Linked DNA regions of Arabidopsis thaliana. The protein of the gene in region 2 purifies or fractionates together with the protein of the main gene of each other region. This does not show direct contact. Each region holds a gene or a part of one and is shown on either strand. Other genes may lie near its edges.

Region 1 (9,921 bases), on a different chromosome or scaffold from region 2:
TTTTCATAAAGATCTGAATTTTTTTTAAAAGAGAGGCTATTTTTCTCAAGTGAATATAATGGATGTCACAAAAACTTATGTGACTATTTTCGTTGTAGCGATATTGACAATTTCGGTTTGTAATTACAACATCTTGGCAACACAAGGAATGTTTTTATTATTCAATTTACAGAGATTATTAATTTATCGAATATTAATTTAGAGAGGTTAACTGTTTTTTTGATCATTTGAAGAGCAATGGTTAAACATTATCTTTTCAGAAATTAGAAAAATGTTTTCATGGAATGTCTTACATACACATATATATATATATAACTTGGGTTATAAAATTGCAGTGATCCAAATCCAACAATATGATCGTTGCATTGGGCCATGTTTGAGATTTTACGGAAATCATCAATGTTACAAAAACTGTAGAAAGGCGAAGTATGATGGAGGACAGTGTGATTTTGTTAAAAAAGGTGAAAAATTACCAGAATGTTGTTGCTATTATAACAAAAATTGATACTCATTGTAGTAACCGGCTACTTGAGTCTTGAGCATTATGTTTGTCTTCAACTTCTTAGTATAATAAATTTCTTACAATAAATTAATATTGTTACTCATAAGCAGACAATTTTATAGTACGGTTGCTCAATTGTGCTCAAATCGGAACATGCAGTTCCCTTTTTGGTAAATGAAATGCTTTCGATATTTGCGTAGGCCACTCTGAGAAACGAGCTCCAGAAACAAGACTGGTGTTAAAAGTTTAAACTCTTGTTTTTTGACTCTTTTCAATTTCCTAATAACTTGATGTCAGAATCAGAATCTCATAACAAAAAACAAAAGAGACAGGTTTGATTGAGATTGAAAGAGGAAGATTAATGTAATGGGAATTGAAGTGCAGAAGATATGGCTTGGAGAAAGAGAGGATGCACATCTTCACCCGAGAACACTTCTGACTCCAACTTCTCCATGTGAGGCCATATCTACAAGAACATGGTGAAACAAGTCAATATTCAATCTACTAAAGCTCTTACAACAACATCCCAACTATTAAGTTATTTTTTACCTCGCTCGCATATTGCCTTGTAAATGCCGTGAGATAGCCAAGTGTTGATAAGCACCACTGTTCTCTCTCACCGACTTCGCAACTCTTCTTTGGGTTTCCATTCTCGCTGTCCACGTCCATCGCAGATGGCTTGTCATCTTCAGCACCTATAGATTTTAGATCCTGCACTGATCTCACTTTAGTTGGATCTGGGAGCCGTTCCTTCAGTACACCTAAGAAACTTTGGAACAGCAAGAGCAGTAAAACCTATGCACAAGTCAACTCAATTAGCTTTTAGTAGATAAAAGGAAATAATAAGATCATGTGCTGCATTAAACTAATATATAATACCTCGGTCTCAGAGAGAGCTCTGTTAAGAAGAGCCTCTTTTGCCTCTAGGGACTCCCGAAGAGATAACTCCGCTTCCCCTGTCTTCTCCACTGTTGATTTTAAACGCTTCATCTTCGCTGGATTCTCACCAAGAACGGGTTCACCTTCCACTAGGGAAAGTTTGCTCTCAGCAGCCTCCAACTCTACTCGTGCATTGGCTGAAGCTTTCTCAGCAACCAAAACATTTTTCGTAATGTTTGATATATCTTTCCTCAAATCAGAGATACGGTTATAAGTCTTGTTAAGAGCATTGCCAAGTATCTGCAGAGACAGAAACAGATTTACGAAGATAAACAAACTTGCTCTGCAGAGTGTAGAAAATAAATATACTTCTGTTAAAACGCAACTGACCTCCCATGGCTGATCAGACACATGAAACTGATCAACATTTTCTGGAGAGAACACCCATCTAACAATTGCCTGATTAGATACTAGTCTATAACCCATCATCCTATCAATTGCCACCGCCGTCATTTGTACATTGTTTTTCCAGTATGTACTCACTTGAGATAATAGCATCACCTGCTTATCGTTATCAGGACAAAGCTTTGAAAATACTTGGCCATATCGCTCCAGGACAGTGACCAAATGAGTGAAACTTTTTGATCCGATGTCAAGTAAGGTCTGTACAACTATTGTAAGAGTAACTTCAAAACCATGAACTGGATATATCGTTTCTTCAATCCACACTATCATGTCACGTGCGGTTTGTTTTTCCTTGACCTTCCTGCTCAATTCGGCTGACAATTGCTGTTCTTCTGTTTTCTCTTTACCTTCTTCCAAGGAATACATAAAATTCGGACCAGCTTTTGGAGGAAGTAATTCTTCTAGGGCAGTCGCATTCTCAATGCTCTGTTAGACACACATAGAAAAAACAATATAGCCTGAGGAAGGATATCTGATGCTTAAGTTTGGAATGATATATCCATGTGGATAACAAGATGAAACATTGATCCCCCACAAAATGGAATAAGACAAATAACCCTAGGCTAAGAGAAAAGTATATCTGATGCTTAAGTTTGGCAGCTATTAGGATATCTGACGATCTGTTACCTGCTTAATTTTATCCCAGTAAGACAAGCGTACTTCTCTTTGCAAAATCTCCTGAACAAATACACGCTTAGGGGCCCACTTGGGAAGATCCAACACAAAAGCCCACTCTTCCCACGGCCAGATGAATTGGAAGTTGGATCTGTTAAGCATGGAGTTATCAACATGAGAGTAGAGAGCAAAACGAAATACGTAATCAACTTCATGTGATGAATAACATATTTCTCAATTAATCGAGAAAGTAAGACTCAAACACGACCACTGTATCATGTAAACGAATCGTCAGTAATGCTGACTGAAAATCCATATTTTATGTTTCAATAATCCATATTTTATAAGCTAGGTAACTTTCTAACATATATGGAACATTCACCAAACATTCGACAATAAAGCACCTTTTCCAGATTACAAAAAATCAAGAGGTAAGAAATATGAAATTATATACTTACAAGTGGTGAGAAAACCAGAGGATAAGACGCGTCCTGGATTCCATGTCTAAGTCGGATATTTTCTCAAATAGTGCACGAACAGCGCCAGCAACAACAGCAGGAAAGGCACCCGGAAGAGCCTAAATTAATTGAATATTTGGAATCAGGTTGAAAAAAGAAATAACAGCAGGGATTTAAAAACCATCGGATGAACAGTATAATCCTTTGTACCTTACAAAGATCCATAATCACGAGTGTATAATAAAGAGTCTTGAATGGTGGCTGGGGTAGCAGCAGTATCTGAAAAACAGTAGATACAATTGTTATATTTAAAAATCACAGATCTTGGAATTAATTGGTATAATCTGCCAGAAACGTATGCTTTTATATTACAACGTGAATACTCACTAGAGAGATAATCCCAAAATTTATACAACAGAAGTTACCTGAGAAAATAGTGTCTCTGCCATAAGATACTCGTACCGAAATGTAACAGGAAGATTAGCCATGTAGGATGCACACTCCTTCCGACTAGCTTTGCAATAAATTAATTAGTGAAACAAAATTCTATATAATTTAAGAAGGCAAACAAAATTTAGTAACCAGAAAGAAAGAGACTTAGCATAAGCTAAGATGTTGATTAGAAAACATGTATATGCTAGGCAAGTCTACAACCATAATAATGACTTAAATAAGTATATGCTAGGTTCAACTAGATACTCAACGCAAAAACACTAGCCCTTAGTAGTAGCCAATTAGTCGCCCAGCTGAATCAGTGACCATATTATTCAAAGAGTAAGTCATGAACTTAGATTAATACACCATACTCTAAGGTTAATAATTTAGAAAACACGTGACTAATTTGCTATGGTTGGGGGACAAAAACCAAGATCTACACCAAAACCAGCATGAATGGACGACCACTGTGCAAGAAAAATATAGAAGAAACATACAAAAACGTCAAAAGAACACAAGCTTTGGGAAAATACACACCATCCATTCAAATAGAAGAGCACATCCAGCAAATACTCCTCCACGACAAAACGATCAATTGGTTGTACATCCTGCGAGTTTGATAGTTACAGAATCAGAAGAAAGGGTAGACAAAGAAAAGGAATACAAAAGGACACCATATAACCCATATATCAATCTACAAATATAATAGGTTAGAAAAAAGAAAAATGTTGACGACTGAAAAGGTAGCAAGTATAATAAGCTTCCATTAGCATGAAATATGTCCTATTCAGATAAACAATGACATCAAAAACCAGAATATTACCTCCATTTTATTAGCTGGAAATATATTCAACCTACGAATTCTCTGGGGATATCTCGTCAATGCATCATGCTTTTGCTTGCCACTGTATGCCCTCGAATGATCAGAAGGTGGACTCGGTTGTTCCATACATTTAATGGGACGTAGCTCATGAAACTTTCCAGCAACGAGTTGAGCTTCAAACGAGAGATGAGGCCTAGGTACTAGCACATTGAATATGCATGAAATTGTCAATTGTAATATACAACTAATATCTCTAGTCATATGAACTGATCAATTTGTAAGTCAAACAAGGTAGATAAGGATATTAAAAGAGAGGGTTCGTAGAAGATTGCAATCTTGTAATACAAAGAGATATGAGAAGTTGACAAAATAAGCATACCGCTTTCAAGTTTCCATCCATTGGAAGCCAGAGACTGAATTCGATCCAATAGATCCTCCACGAAATCCTAACGAGACACAAATGAGAAAGACGAATGACGCAGACCAAAAGTTATCACACCATGATACAAAATTCAACAGATATCTATCTCAAACAAAAGCAGAAATGAAACGTCACATCCATGCATCTTATTTATACATTTGCCAAGACATCTACCGAAACAAAATCAGAGGGGCAGCTAACACAAAGCAAATACAACAACTTCAAGAATTAAACACTAAAAGGCAAACCTTCTCTGCAAGGCTGCTTTCAAATTCTCCGTTGTGAAAAAAGTTTAACCCAGAGGTGGAAGAATTCTTTCGGATGCTCAAATAAGCTTGTATCCCAACTAACACTCTTTCAATCTCATCAGGAACTTGCTGCAAACCAAAGGGAAATTCAGCGGCCATACAAGTTAAGATAATAGATATGAAAGCAGACTAACAAAGTTGGTTGCAGATCCAACAAGGATGACATCATTATAAAATTGGAAACGCATATCCAGTATTCTAATAGCCTTCAATGTAAATAATTTCTAGAATGTATTTAGTCCAAGAGCAGTACCTCAGCGAGTTCTGATCCTCCCCACGGGAGGCTGGACAAGATGCATATAACGTAAAAGTCAGCTTGTGGCTGCCATGATGGATTTCCTTTCTCTTCATCCACAGTAGTGGCAGCAGATGATAGCAATGTTTCGAAGACGACAATCAAAGAAGCAGGTTGAATAACCTTACTGCACAACTAAAGAACCCAACTAAAACATGTTAGAAAATAGACAAAACATCTCAAAATTTTCACAAATACTGTTCTATATACTTCGCACTTTTATTTTTTAGACGCTTTCTGTGTATTAGAAACATGAACTAACATATTAAATAGACGAAGCAACCATGAAACATGATTAGCAACCATACCAGGGAAGTCATAAAGCGAAGCAATATACGGATACTGTTGCAGTTGCCAGAATCTAAAGCGACCTGGCATGTTTGACCAAGAAAAACAGTCACATTAGAAACAAAAGTAACTGAGAAAACTTATGTTATCAATTTATCCTTGGCCTTTGATGTACAGATTAGATTATTCACCTGGAAATTAGCGTGGACACTTTCTACTAGCTTCTGGACAAAATCTTCATTCTCCAAGTTCAACAAACCAATCTTAAACATGTGGAAAGACATCCATCAAACTTCGAAGTATGTGTATCAGATTAAATCGAACTAATTTATAACAGGGAACAGGGTATCTCAGTTCAAAAATAGATCCAAATGCTACTTACACAGATAAGAATTATACACAGAAAATATTCAAGCATTCTTTATTACTCAGAAGTTAGCAAATATTGATGAATACTATGAATAAATAGATTCCTACAACATGTTATATATGATATAATAGACACAAAATGATCCACCTTAAGGGCATTTCCACTATTATTTGTGTTTCTGAAGTGTTCATTTGTTTCAAGTTAAATGCCTTCCGTTATTGCTTCGAGCTAATTATTCTTCGATAAGAATCAGTTCACAGATACCATAACATACTCAATCAAAACCTCCACATATATAACACATCTAAATGCAAGCCCAACATCCAACACATACCCAGAAATGAAAAAGCCAAGGTAACTAGTTTATAAGAGACTTACCAAAGTCCCATACAAAGGAATCTTATGAGGCAATTGTTCAGCACATTGTAGTAGAAACTGTTAAGACGAAAACAAAAATAATGAGAACACACAATAATAATATCCACAGAGATACATCACAACAGATCCTAAAATTGAAGGCTCGAAGTCACTTACAGGCAAAACTTGATCTCCAGAACGCTCGATTTCTCTACGAATGACACCGAAACAAGTCTCCTGTATATAGAGAATCGGAAAAGTTTTGAGTAGTGAGAAAATTAGGGTTTAAGAGCGAGGATGAATCGAGAGAGAGATACTGACGATGTGGTCTTTGTAGTCGGAGGAAGTGCCGTACTCAGGTCCCTTTTCGCCGATGCGAAGGAGAAGAGTTTTCCAATTGCTCATCTTCTTCCGAGAGGTTTTTCTTCAGTTCGTCTCTTTGTTGTTTCTCCTTTGGTATCAGTCACTCTGCCCTAGTTTTTTTTTTTATGTCCGTGTCTCGTCAAAACTAATTTTTTTTTTTTTTTCTCATAAGTGTTGTCATCTAAGAAAAGGAGTTCACAAAAAGAGTTTGACAAAAAGTTTTTCTCTCTCTTCTTTCTCTTAGTAGCTGAAACTAGCCGTTAAAACAATAGTCGTCCCAGTTAATTTGGAGCCTAAAGACTTTTCTCTCAGGTGTTCTATTCTGAACGGAGCTTCTACCAGAAATATTTACGTGTTCGGTCCGGTCTAAATTGTTGTTTTCTTCCTCGGATTTTTGGTAGTTCTGACTCTTTCTCTGTTACGAGAGTTTGCTTTGTGATTCTCAGTTCTGTGTTGGTTATCATCTGAATTACTCGGATTTCTTCACTGTTTTTTCTCTTGGAGTTTGTTTCCTGCAAATCAGGTTTGACGAGTTCGGGAAAGTTGTTTACTCTCTATCAGGATCTCATCATGGAGCTGGATAAAGCCATTCAGAATATGTCGATTTAAGACAATAAGCCTCTGATTCTTTCTGATCAACCGCGCTTTTGTTCAATTAACAGAAACAACTGTCGTTAGTTGGGTAGGTTTTTGAATCTAGAGAATCAAAGGATGTCTAATTGGATATTAGATATGCCACGAATTTGGAGAATTTCTTCTCGGGTTAGAGGTGTTGCTCTCTCAAAGGATCGATTCCAATTTTTCTTCAAATCTGAGGAAGATTTAGAAGAAATTATGAAAATTGGAGTTTGGACAGAAGATAAATTGGGGTGTAGTCATGGATAGATGGATTGAGAATCCTCCAATTGATTATCTGAATTTTCTTCCAATCTGGGGTCGAGTGAGGAATATTTCGGTGAACTATTATACTCAGGACACAATTAAAGAGATCACGAGCTGTATTGGGGAAGTGAAGGAGGTGGTGATGGACTCTGAAAAATCACAGTTTCAGGACTATGTTCGTGTTCGGGTTTTGTTTCATGTCGCCAATCCACTTCGTAACAATAAAGAGGTACAACTTCCATCTGGTGAAGTTGTCACAATTTCTTTTGACTATGAACAGATTAGAAAGAGATGTTTCTTGTGTCAAAGATTAACTCATGATAAAAATAGATGCCCATCCAAAGTCTTAGATTCCATCAAACATGATGTGAGATCATTACAAGAGAAAGGCAAACAGAAGAAGATGTTTTTACCGAGGCTGGCTGAGTTTCCCTTTCAGTCAATTGCTCCCAAAGGAAGGGTAGATGCTTTGCCAGCAAATCCTCTATCAGCTACTGTTGCAATTGATAGTCATCCAGAGAATACTTTGTTAGCTGAGATGCTAGATTTGGACATTAGTACTGGATTTACCACATGTGTTGGTGAGGCTAGTTCCTCCACTTCAGGGTTTAAACATCATATAATGCAGGATTTCACTCCTTTTCAGTTCAGGAAAGAAAAACTAGTTAATGAGCTGTCTCTGAAGAATAAGGTTATTCAGTCTCCTGCCTCTCCTCATTTTGAAAAGGTGTTCAAAAGGAAAAGAAAACCCTCAGACATTACAGAAGCTCAAAGTTTCAAGAGAGACAAGAATACGGTGGTTCCAAGTGAACCACCGTTGGATCAGTAAGGCGTCCTTAGTTGGAATTGTCAAGGCTTGAGGAATCCTTGGACAATTCGACACCTTAAGGAGATGAAAAAAAATCATATCTCGGACATTTTATTCTTCATGGAGACTATGAATCCTGACGAGTTTGTTTCAAAAGTTATTGATTGGCTTGGTTATAACTATATGTATACAATAGAACCTCAAGGGAGAAGTGGTGGCTTAGCAATCTTTTGGAAAAGCCATTTGGACATTGAGATTCTTTTTGATGATAAACATCTTTTGGATCTTCAGTGTTCTTCTAGAAATAAAGTATGCTTTGTTTCTTGTGTTTATGGGCATCTGGTGACATATCTTAGGCCTTAGGTTTGGGATAAGTTGTGTAGTCTTGGATCACATCGGAAGCAAGCTTGGTGTATGATAGGTGACTTCAATGATATTAAGTCGAAAACGGGAAAGAGAGGGGTCCGAGAAGAGTACCTTCTTCGTTTCAATCTTTTCAAGACATGTTGAATACTTGTGATATGCATGAACTAGGTAGTACAAGCAATGGCTTTACTTGGGGAGGGACTAGAAATGGTCAATGGATTCAGTGTAGATTGGATAGATGCTTTGGGAATTCCTCTTGGTTTTCTTTGTTTCCAAATTCTCACCAGTGGTTTCTGAGAGATTTGGATCTGACCATCGTCCTGTTTTAGTCAAGTTTATTAATGATAACGAGTTGTTTCGTGGACAGTTTTGTTATGACAAAAGAATAGCTGATGATCCTTCTTGTATTCAAGTGATTTCCAACTCTTGGACCAATGCAATGTCTCAAGGTTCTCACTCCTCTATCTTTAGTCTTATTGAATGTCGAAGAGCTATTAGTGTATGGAAAAAAATCAGCTGATACTAATGCTTAGAGTAGGATTCAAAGATTGAGGAAAGATTTGGATTTGCTGAAAAGTTATGAGTTTCCAAATTGGCCTAGAATTGCATATATTAAAGATCAATTGGGTCTTGCTGATGAGGATGATGAACTCTTTTGGAGACAGAAAAGTAGTCAAAAATGGCTGTTTGCTGAAGATAAAAACATTGGTTTTTTCATGCTTCTTTGAAATCTTCTAGATTAGGGAACTCTTTGAGCTTCCTTCTGGATGAAAATGGACAAGAACACACCAGGATTAGTGAGAAAGGGAAAATTGCTTCTTCGTTCTTTCAGCATCTTTTTTCATCTTCTTATCCAATAGGCCAGGATAATTTTTTGAATGGTTTTCAAGCAAAGGTTTCATTGGATATGAATCAACAATTAACTCAAGATGTCACAGAATTGGAAGTGTATAATGCAGTGTTTTCTATTAATTGTGAAAGTGCTCTAGGACTAGATGGATTTACTGCTTTGTTCTTTCAACAACATTGGGATTTGGTTAAAACTCAGGTCTTAAGCGAGTTTTTTTTTTTTTTGAGAATGGTGTTATACCACAGGATTGGAATCACACTCACATTTGTCTCATTCAAAAAATCACAAAACCGAGAAGTATGTCGGATTTAAGACCCATCAATTTGTGCTCTGTCTTATATAAGATCATCTCTAAGATCCTCACTGCCAGATTGAAAAAACATCTTCCAAGTATTATCTCTTCAACTCAATCCGCTTTTGTTCCTCAAATATTGGT
Region 2 (8,007 bases):
TGTCATGTTCATAAGATTTATGTCATCATGTGATTCACTTACTTACCTATTGTGGTTTCTCATTTGTCTTCTGATGCAGAGAACTATGGCGTTTGCAGTGAGTATTGCTGAGAAGATAGTCACTTTCTTGAGACAAGCAGAAAACACAAGGAGACAAGCAATGGCACTCCTGCTACTTGTTCTTCTGCTGCTTGCTGCAGCCGCTTTCTACGTCACACGTCTGAGATTCTGATAAAAACACAGCAAATAACATGGAAGATAGCAGGAAAAAAAACCATAGCATAGGGAATAAGATTTTTCTATCAGTAGGATGCAAATATTTCCAACAGGGAAAACATAGTTAAACACATGAGTTTTTTTTTCCTAAGACATTCATGGGTGAATGGCGTTTAATACAAAACATCTGCGCCGTTTCACCCTTAACACTAGAGTTTCGGTACAATACTAAATACAACATCAACCTAAGCATGTCGATACACAACCAACTAAAACAAAGAACCCAACGGAAGATTAAAATAGCATTAAAGGAAGTTAAAAGTGAAAAGGATCTTTTCTTCCCTATCAGAGTTCTACAGCAAGGAGTCATAAGTAGGTTCCCTAGATACACACCTGCAAGAGAGTTGTGATACAGAAGTCAATTACCATATTTGGACAATGCTGATATATAAGTATCATAATCTGTTAAATCAAACTTCACTTACACTAGTAGTTCCTAGTTAATTAAGTCAGACCAGAAGATATCACGACTGCTTGTACATATGGCGCCTCAGCATCTCATTTATCCCCACAGCTGAAATGCTTTCACATCCAAGAAGATCTCGGAGCTTTTCATCACACTGAATAGCCATTGGATTTACTGGGTCCTGAAAGAAAATTGAAAAGCAGAATAAACAAATCTTAATTTTCTTGTTTATGGCCATTCACTATGCTCTATAACATAAAGTTATGTGAAATCCTATACTGTAAATTATCTTATAGAGTAAACCACAATACCAGCTTTAGTTAGCAGCAAACAGGAAAAAAATTCGAAGCAATAAGGAGAAACCAGAGGATTTCAAGATTAAAATCATTACCTCTAAATTGTTGAGTTTTATGTATTCCCAAACACGGCGAATAATCTCTTCGTCTGCCATCTCCGTCTCACCAGTGCCAAAGAACTTACCAAGTGGCTCAGATAATGTAACAGTTGAACTAATAGCAGTTGAACTAATAGGCTCGGTGGTCTCAGTCTTAGTCTCCACCTCAGTTTTTGCCTTTTTTGCTTGACCAGAGTCCTCTGCCAAAAGTGACTCAAACAGTCAGTAACCTTGAACAAACCAAGCACAGTTGGAACTCAGCAAAAAACGCTTGTGTTTAACCATTACTTGATGGATCAAGCGGGAGAATATGCTTAGCAAGCAACTTATTCATCTTGAACATGTCAGTGCAATCAGTCTCAAAAACCACACGCAACGCATCATCACAGATGATCTTCCGCTTGTTACTCGGGTCTTGAAGGTTATTCTTCCTTATATAAGCCCACAATTGCCTCACAATCTAAAACCAAAAGCCAAACACAGCAACACATAAATAACAACCACAATTGCTTATACACATTATAATCATAAATGAAAGACAATGATAACCTCAGTTCTAGGAAGAGCAGGTTCACCAACAACTACTTCAAGTTCTGGAGAAACCCTACAGACTTTGTTTAGTCCTCCAGGACCACCCTTTCTTTTAGTTCCAGCCGGAGCACTGCAAAGGAAAAGTTGACAAATTTCGTTGATGTGCCAAATTTAGGTAGATCAGAAAGAAATAATCACACTATAATAGAACGTTGTATGAATCAATGTGCTAAAAATATCACAGGATGATAATTCTAAACATGAGCATGTAAAACCTAAAAACCCGTAAATGAACAAAATTGACAAAAGATTTAGACATTCCTAAAATGGAAAATCATGTTTTCCATGAAAGTAGCAAAAGCCCTAAATTACTGAAATTGGAACAACCTTGAGCAAAATTACGTACCAACATTTGAAATATGTTGCAAACCCTACCTTTCTTTTGGGGCTTGATTAACAGATAGAGAAGCATTCCCGCCATGTGAGAGCATCACAGAGGATTGTTGTTGTCGCGGAGACTGCTGCTGATGCTGGTGCTGTTGCGGCGGCATGTAAACCGGATAAGGCTGCCGGAAATTTAGGTCATAAGAGTGATAAGGAGGCTGAAGAGCGAAATGTGAAGGATATTGTTGTGATTGAGAAGAAACAGAGAATTGCGAAGGATGGCTAAGTGTGAAATGCCCTTTCGCCATCGGAGGAACATTGACGCCGGAATGCAAATTCTGCTGCTGGTGAGAAGACGGCGGAGGAGGAGGGTGAGATTGTTGTACGGATGAAGCGGAGGCGACGGAGGCAGAAGGGTTTTGGTGAGCACGGAGGAGGATATTGATCTGATCTCTGATGAAAGTCGTCTTCTCCGTGAGGTCTAACCCTAACTTAGCTTCAAGCTGCTGAACAATACTGCTTAACGATGTGAGAGAGCTAGGGTCGGATTGTCGAAGCAAAGTCTCGACTCCTTTCGCTAGATCCTGGTCCGACACCATTGTCGAGAGAGAATTTCAAAGCTTTTTTTTTCATACACACAAAAAAAAAAACTTTTTAAGGAGAAAAAAAAAAACAAATACCCCACAAAAGAAAAAGAAAAAAAGACAACAAATTCTCTATATCTTTCTCTCTCTTATCCTCTTCTCTAATCTTGTCTCTTTCTCTCTCTCCTTCTTCGTCTCTGTCTCTTTATAACTATTTGGAAAGACGAATATGCCCTTCAGGGTTGGTTAGATTTATCAAATGATGACAAATGTCGGTGTTGCCCTTATGAGTCATGGTATCTATGGCTTGTAGGTAGAGGGTGTTGTCGTATTTTGGCTAATCTATTTGCTTTTTTACTTCTTCGCCAGCTGGCTTTAACTTCAGAACTCATCTCTTTACTCGTGGAATGTCGAATACGTCCTTGTAGATTTTCACGCGTTTATAGTTTGCTTCGAGAAGCTTGAGGGTATTAATGGTTATTCGATAAGTATCGGATCGTGAATACAGATCAATTACTGAATACTGCTGACAGAAGTAATATAAATGGAACAGATTGTTATTGGGCTATAACAGTGTGGCCCAATAATAAATATTCGGCCTTTTAACCGAGTTAATCAATCTGGGTGAGACTTGAGTCGGCTCTTGAAGCTTTAATAGGTTGTTTGTTTAACGTCTGCGTTGTGGCGGATTTTGAAGTTTCTCGAGAAAATTGGGAACGAGAGATAAGTTCGAGTAGATTCGCGACTGTCGACGCTTCTGATTTGAAGTATTTGGCGTTTTTTGGAAGAGTTCATTGCTTCTTTGGTTGAGGATTCTTCGTGAATCGCTGGGATTTTGTGTTCTAAGGTTTTTGAAGCAAGCTTTAGCTTAGGGAAAATTTTGAGAATGAAAGGTGAAAGAGAAGTGAAGAATGGTGTTTCTGAGGAAGAGAGAGAGGTGAAGAGGAAGAGAGTGATGGAACGGTCTGATTCGCCACCTCCACCACTAGGTTTCAACAATCCTCTTTTGCCGTTTGCTAATGCTTACGATGATGATAATAACCAGCAGAATAAATCGCAAACTCGTTGTAATGTAGTTGCGAAAGGAGAGGGAAATGGTAACAAAGTGAAAGGAGAAGCTCAAGTAGAGGTCGATGACGACGAAGATGATGATGATGATGCTTCGAAGGGGAGAGGAAAGCATTCACGCCATGTTGAAGTTCGTCGTGATTGTCCTTATCTTGATACTGTTAATCGTCAGGTATATCATTGACCAATTTCTTGTGTTTGGTACTTGTAATGTATCTAATCTATGGTGGATCTTTAAGCTTCTGCTAGGTTCATTATATTGCTGGTTTGAGATTAGCGTTTAAACTCATATCTTATGGTTGATTTCAGGTGTTGGATTTTGATTTCGAGAGGTTTTGCTCTGTCTCATTGTCAAATCTGAATGTGTATGCGTGTCTTGTTTGTGGGAAGTACTTTCAAGGAAGAAGCCAGAAGTCTCATGCTTATACACATAGCTTGGAAGCAGGACACCACGTTTACATCAATCTTCTGACAGAGAAGGTTTATTGTCTTCCTGATAGTTACGAGATCAATGACCCTTCTTTGGATGACATTCGCCATGTTTTAAACCCAAGGTATATTAGATCTTGTGACTAACTACATCATAGTTCTTACTGCATTTTGGGTATTGATTTGTGAACATGTGAGCCTTTGCACGTAGTTAACAACAACAAAATTGCTTTGACTATTATCTCAATCAGTTTCTTCTTACTAGTTCTCTGTATCATCTACCATCTATTTATATTTTTTTGCATGATAGCTTGAACATATTACTCTTCTTTCATGTTTTGTCAATTTTTCTTTGATTTTTCAGTTCCTTTGTATGAAGGCTTCGGTGCTATCCATTTACAGGTTTAGTAGAGCACAAGTAAACGAGCTTGACAAGAATAGGCAGTGGTCTAGGGCTCTTGATGGCTCCGACTATCTTCCAGGAATGGTAATCCTTTCTCTTTGATTACACTTGATCTTGAAATTAATGTCTCCTAAAGGTTAAGCTTGTAAATATGTAGGTGGGGTTGAACAACATACAAAAGACAGAGTTTGTGAATGTTACAATCCAGTCGTTGATGAGAGTTACTCCTCTAAGGAATTTCTTCCTCATTCCTGAAAATTATCAGCACTGCAAGTCTCCTCTTGGTCACCGTTTTGGGGAACTAACTCGCAAGATTTGGCATGCTCGAAACTTTAAAGGACAAGTCTGACTCAATTTATGCCTCTCACTTTTTTAGTTTTTGTTATGCACTCACCTATTGAGGACCTCGCTAATTTAAGTTACCTTGCATCAACAGGTGAGTCCACATGAGTTCTTGCAAGCTGTCATGAAAGCCAGCAAGAAACGCTTTAGGATTGGCCAACAATCAGATCCAGTAGAGTTTATGTCGTGGCTCCTCAACACTTTGCACATGGATCTTAGAACTTCAAAGGACGCTAGCAGTATCATCCACAAGTGCTTCCAGGTATGTGTCCGTCCTTTGAAATGTCAACATAATGCAGTTTGATATAATTTCTTACAAAAAAGCTGTATCTCATGTAACCTGTTAACCATTACAGGGTGAGTTGGAGGTTGTGAAAGAGTATCAAGGCAATGAAAACAAAGAAATCTCCAGGATGCCGTTTCTGATGCTTGGGCTAGATTTGCCACCGCCTCCTCTTTTCAAAGATGTCATGGAGAAAAACATTATTCCGCAGGTATATGGCTATTTCAAATCTTGAAAGTCTTGCTACTTTGTGCCATTAAAAAAATGCATTTCAGAAAAATGATAACGTGGAGTGCTAGAAAACTTATGATTCTCAATATACAGCTACATAAATAATGTCACATTTGGTTGAGATACAATTAAGGGATTCTTAAATAGTGCCATTGCCAATTTAATGTCCTGGAGTAAACTTTCTTTTTCGAATCTAGTTCATGACTTGCGAAAGTGTAGAATTCTCTGACTCATTGGTTGTTTGGAGCTCCTGTAGCCTTTATGGCTTGCTACCTCGTATATGCGTCTTAGAGTGTTTAGTTTGCAAAGTGAGGTTAGTGGAATCTAATTTCTTTGATTTTTGGGTCAGGTTGCTCTATTCGATTTATTGAAGAAGTTTGATGGAGAAACGGTGACAGAGGTGGTTCGGCCTAAGCTGGCCAGAATGAGATACCGTGTAATCAAATCTCCTCGTTACTTGATGTTCCATATGGTTCGGTTCAAGAAGAATAACTTCTTCAAAGAGAAGAACCCTACATTGGGTGAGTCTGTTTGAAATTTTTGTGACGTTAATGCTGTATAAGGATCCCCTAATACCTGGTTAATTTGATACAATTTCTTTTTCTATGCCACAGTTAACTTCCCAGTGAAGGACATGGAGCTGAGGGATTACATACCATCATTGCCTAGAGCACCAGAAGGGGAGAATGTGTGTTCAAAGTATAATCTAATCGCTAACATTGTACATGATGGTAAGCCTGAGGACGGGTACTTCAGAGTCTTTGTGCAGCGCAAGTCACAAGAACTATGGTAAGCTTTCTCAATCATTAACTATTATTGTGTTTCATGTTCACAAATGCATGATCTAGATCTGTGCATAAGAAAGATATAAATTCATTTGGGGGATAATGTCCATTGCAGGTACGAGATGCAGGATCTTCATGTTGCAGAGACACTTCCCCAGATGGTAGAACTATCGGAAGCATACATGCAGATATATGAGCAGCAGGAAGAATAGAGCCCTGGAAAGAAACTGACTTCATTTGGTTTAAGAGTAAAAGTGACCAGTTTTATCTTGGAATGAGATTAGAGATTTGTTTCACAACTCTTTTGGAAAAAGATTTTTGGACCCCTTTAAAGGATAGAGAGCCTGTTGTATCATAGTGAAAAACCTTTGGTAAAAAAACACATATATGAGTTTTGGGAAGAGCTTTTGGTAAAAACTAAAAACGCATATTGAAAGAAAGCGACCTCTTCAAATTCTCAAACTTTTGAAATTTTGTAGTAAAAAACACATGTGAGTTCCCTTAATATAGAAGTGGCTGTTTTTCGAATTTATTTGTAACAATGAAAGAGGAATAGAATCTAATTCACTATCTCTACTTTTGGCGATTCTATTCTATTCCATCGTCCAAAAAAAGAATTGATTCTTTTTTTGTTTTCATTAACCAATTCTGGAAGATTATGAGCATTGAACATAACAAGGTAACAATTTGCAACTTTGTAGAAAAGAGTTCATAATATTCTCGAATTTTTAATTGTCATTTCAAGTTAATATAGAGGAGGACCTTTACCTTTAATTAAAATATTATATCCCTTTATTAATTGTGGCTTCTAGAATCAAAAGTTAAAAGATTCGAGAAATAAGGAGAATCATTTTCGTCTTCTACTTAGTTTTCTTCAACTCGATTTCTCTGCTCCATCTTCTTCCTCGTCTTCTCATTCTCTCTCGCTCTGGCACAGTAGAAACTGAGCTCACGAAAGCAGGTTTCACGTCTCTTCCTTATTTACCTCATTCCTGAATCATATGTACATAGTTTTGTTTAGATATGTGTTTCGTCTCCTCAATCCTCAGATCTCCACGAGAAACTAGTATTGGTTCCTCTTTGTTATTCTCCTTAGCTCGTGTGATTACTGACACCATTAGTGAAGATTTCCAGTATTTCCATAAGTATTTCGGCTGCTTAAATTTGGGTTTTATTCCCGATTTTACTCGTATTTGTCCCATTTTTCCTGTTTAATTGTATTTCTCTGTGAATCACTTATGTTCATTGCTTTAGATTCAATAAAATTTTGAGTGAAAAATCCTACTGAGAGCGTTTACTTATGGGGAATTTATCAAGTTCAAGTTTGAATTGTTGTATATTGAGTGTTATTAAAGAGTTTCAATGAATCAATTGGATGGTTTTTTGTTTGGGTTGCTCAACTACCTATGAGAGTACAAGCTTCAAATTGTTTAGAATGCTGGTGATTTTGTTTCCGTGTTTTAATAAAAGCATTTATTGGTGAGAGAGTTTGGAGTACATGTTATTGATATAAGTACATGTCATTGATTGATTCAGATGAGTTTTCTACTTATATTTGCAAATTGATTCTAAATTTACTCGACTTTTTTTTTGGCTTATCAATGATTTTTAGTTGCCAGAGTCTTTCTATCTTTTTTTTGTATTCTGACGTTAGACTAAGGTGATGCTAGATGTACTCAAGTTCAATTTTAAATTTTCACAGGTAGTCAGTGTTTTTGTTTCGAACTCTTCCAACATGCAGAAGGAAATTGCTGGTGATGCTCCATCAGCACCAACCACTCGTGTTCGGCATCGGAAGCGAAACAGCGATGTATGTTTGCCATTATTCAATATTTTAGCTGTCAAATTAAATCGGAATTCACATTGTTTTTGGCTTAGTTAAGTTGCTTTT

Evidence for each region. The genes of interacting proteins can lie anywhere in the genome.
Region 1: the proteins of AT4G22350 (region 2) and ABH1 fractionate together in Arabidopsis thaliana (co-fractionation; one large-scale study listed by BioGRID). This does not show direct contact.

Annotation. Positions count from the first base shown.
Region 1 is NC_003071.7:5,633,753-5,643,673, reverse strand, and holds ABH1 (ARM repeat superfamily protein), read right to left. Parts: upstream 6,791-9,921; 5' UTR 6,622-6,790; coding exon 6,538-6,621; intron 6,454-6,537; coding exon 6,394-6,453; intron 6,295-6,393; coding exon 6,238-6,294; intron 5,753-6,237; coding exon 5,681-5,752; intron 5,573-5,680; coding exon 5,510-5,572; intron 5,337-5,509; coding exon 5,160-5,336; intron 4,976-5,159; coding exon 4,847-4,975; intron 4,624-4,846; coding exon 4,557-4,623; intron 4,378-4,556; coding exon 4,178-4,377; intron 3,963-4,177; coding exon 3,892-3,962; intron 3,430-3,891; coding exon 3,345-3,429; intron 3,199-3,344; coding exon 3,130-3,198; intron 3,039-3,129; coding exon 2,920-3,038; intron 2,613-2,919; coding exon 2,474-2,612; intron 2,273-2,473; coding exon 1,772-2,272; intron 1,682-1,771; coding exon 1,382-1,681; intron 1,298-1,381; coding exon 1,052-1,297; intron 969-1,051; coding exon 861-968; 3' UTR 608-860; downstream 1-607. Other genes in the region: AT2G13542 (defensin-like protein), read left to right, coding at 59-119, 336-505. UniProt on the Arabidopsis thaliana protein: Component of the cap-binding complex (CBC), which binds cotranscriptionally to the 5'-cap of pre-mRNAs and is involved in various processes such as pre-mRNA splicing and RNA-mediated gene silencing (RNAi) by microRNAs (miRNAs).
Region 2 is NC_003075.7:11,802,394-11,810,400, reverse strand, and holds AT4G22350 (Ubiquitin C-terminal hydrolases superfamily protein), read left to right. Parts: upstream 1-2,983; 5' UTR 2,984-3,461; coding exon 3,462-3,815; intron 3,816-3,952; coding exon 3,953-4,197; intron 4,198-4,474; coding exon 4,475-4,559; intron 4,560-4,632; coding exon 4,633-4,818; intron 4,819-4,911; coding exon 4,912-5,079; intron 5,080-5,173; coding exon 5,174-5,311; coding exon of another isoform or gene 5,312-5,335; exon of another isoform or gene 5,336-5,680; coding exon 5,681-5,852; intron 5,853-5,945; coding exon 5,946-6,120; exon of another isoform or gene 6,121-6,231; coding exon 6,232-6,328; 3' UTR 6,329-6,570; downstream 6,571-8,007. Other genes in the region: AT4G22370 (uncharacterized protein), read left to right, coding at 80-232; AT4G22360 (SWIB complex BAF60b domain-containing protein), read right to left, coding at 741-863, 1,074-1,276, 1,365-1,536, 1,626-1,737, 2,043-2,590; CDS2 (cytidinediphosphate diacylglycerol synthase 2), read left to right, coding at 7,780-7,926.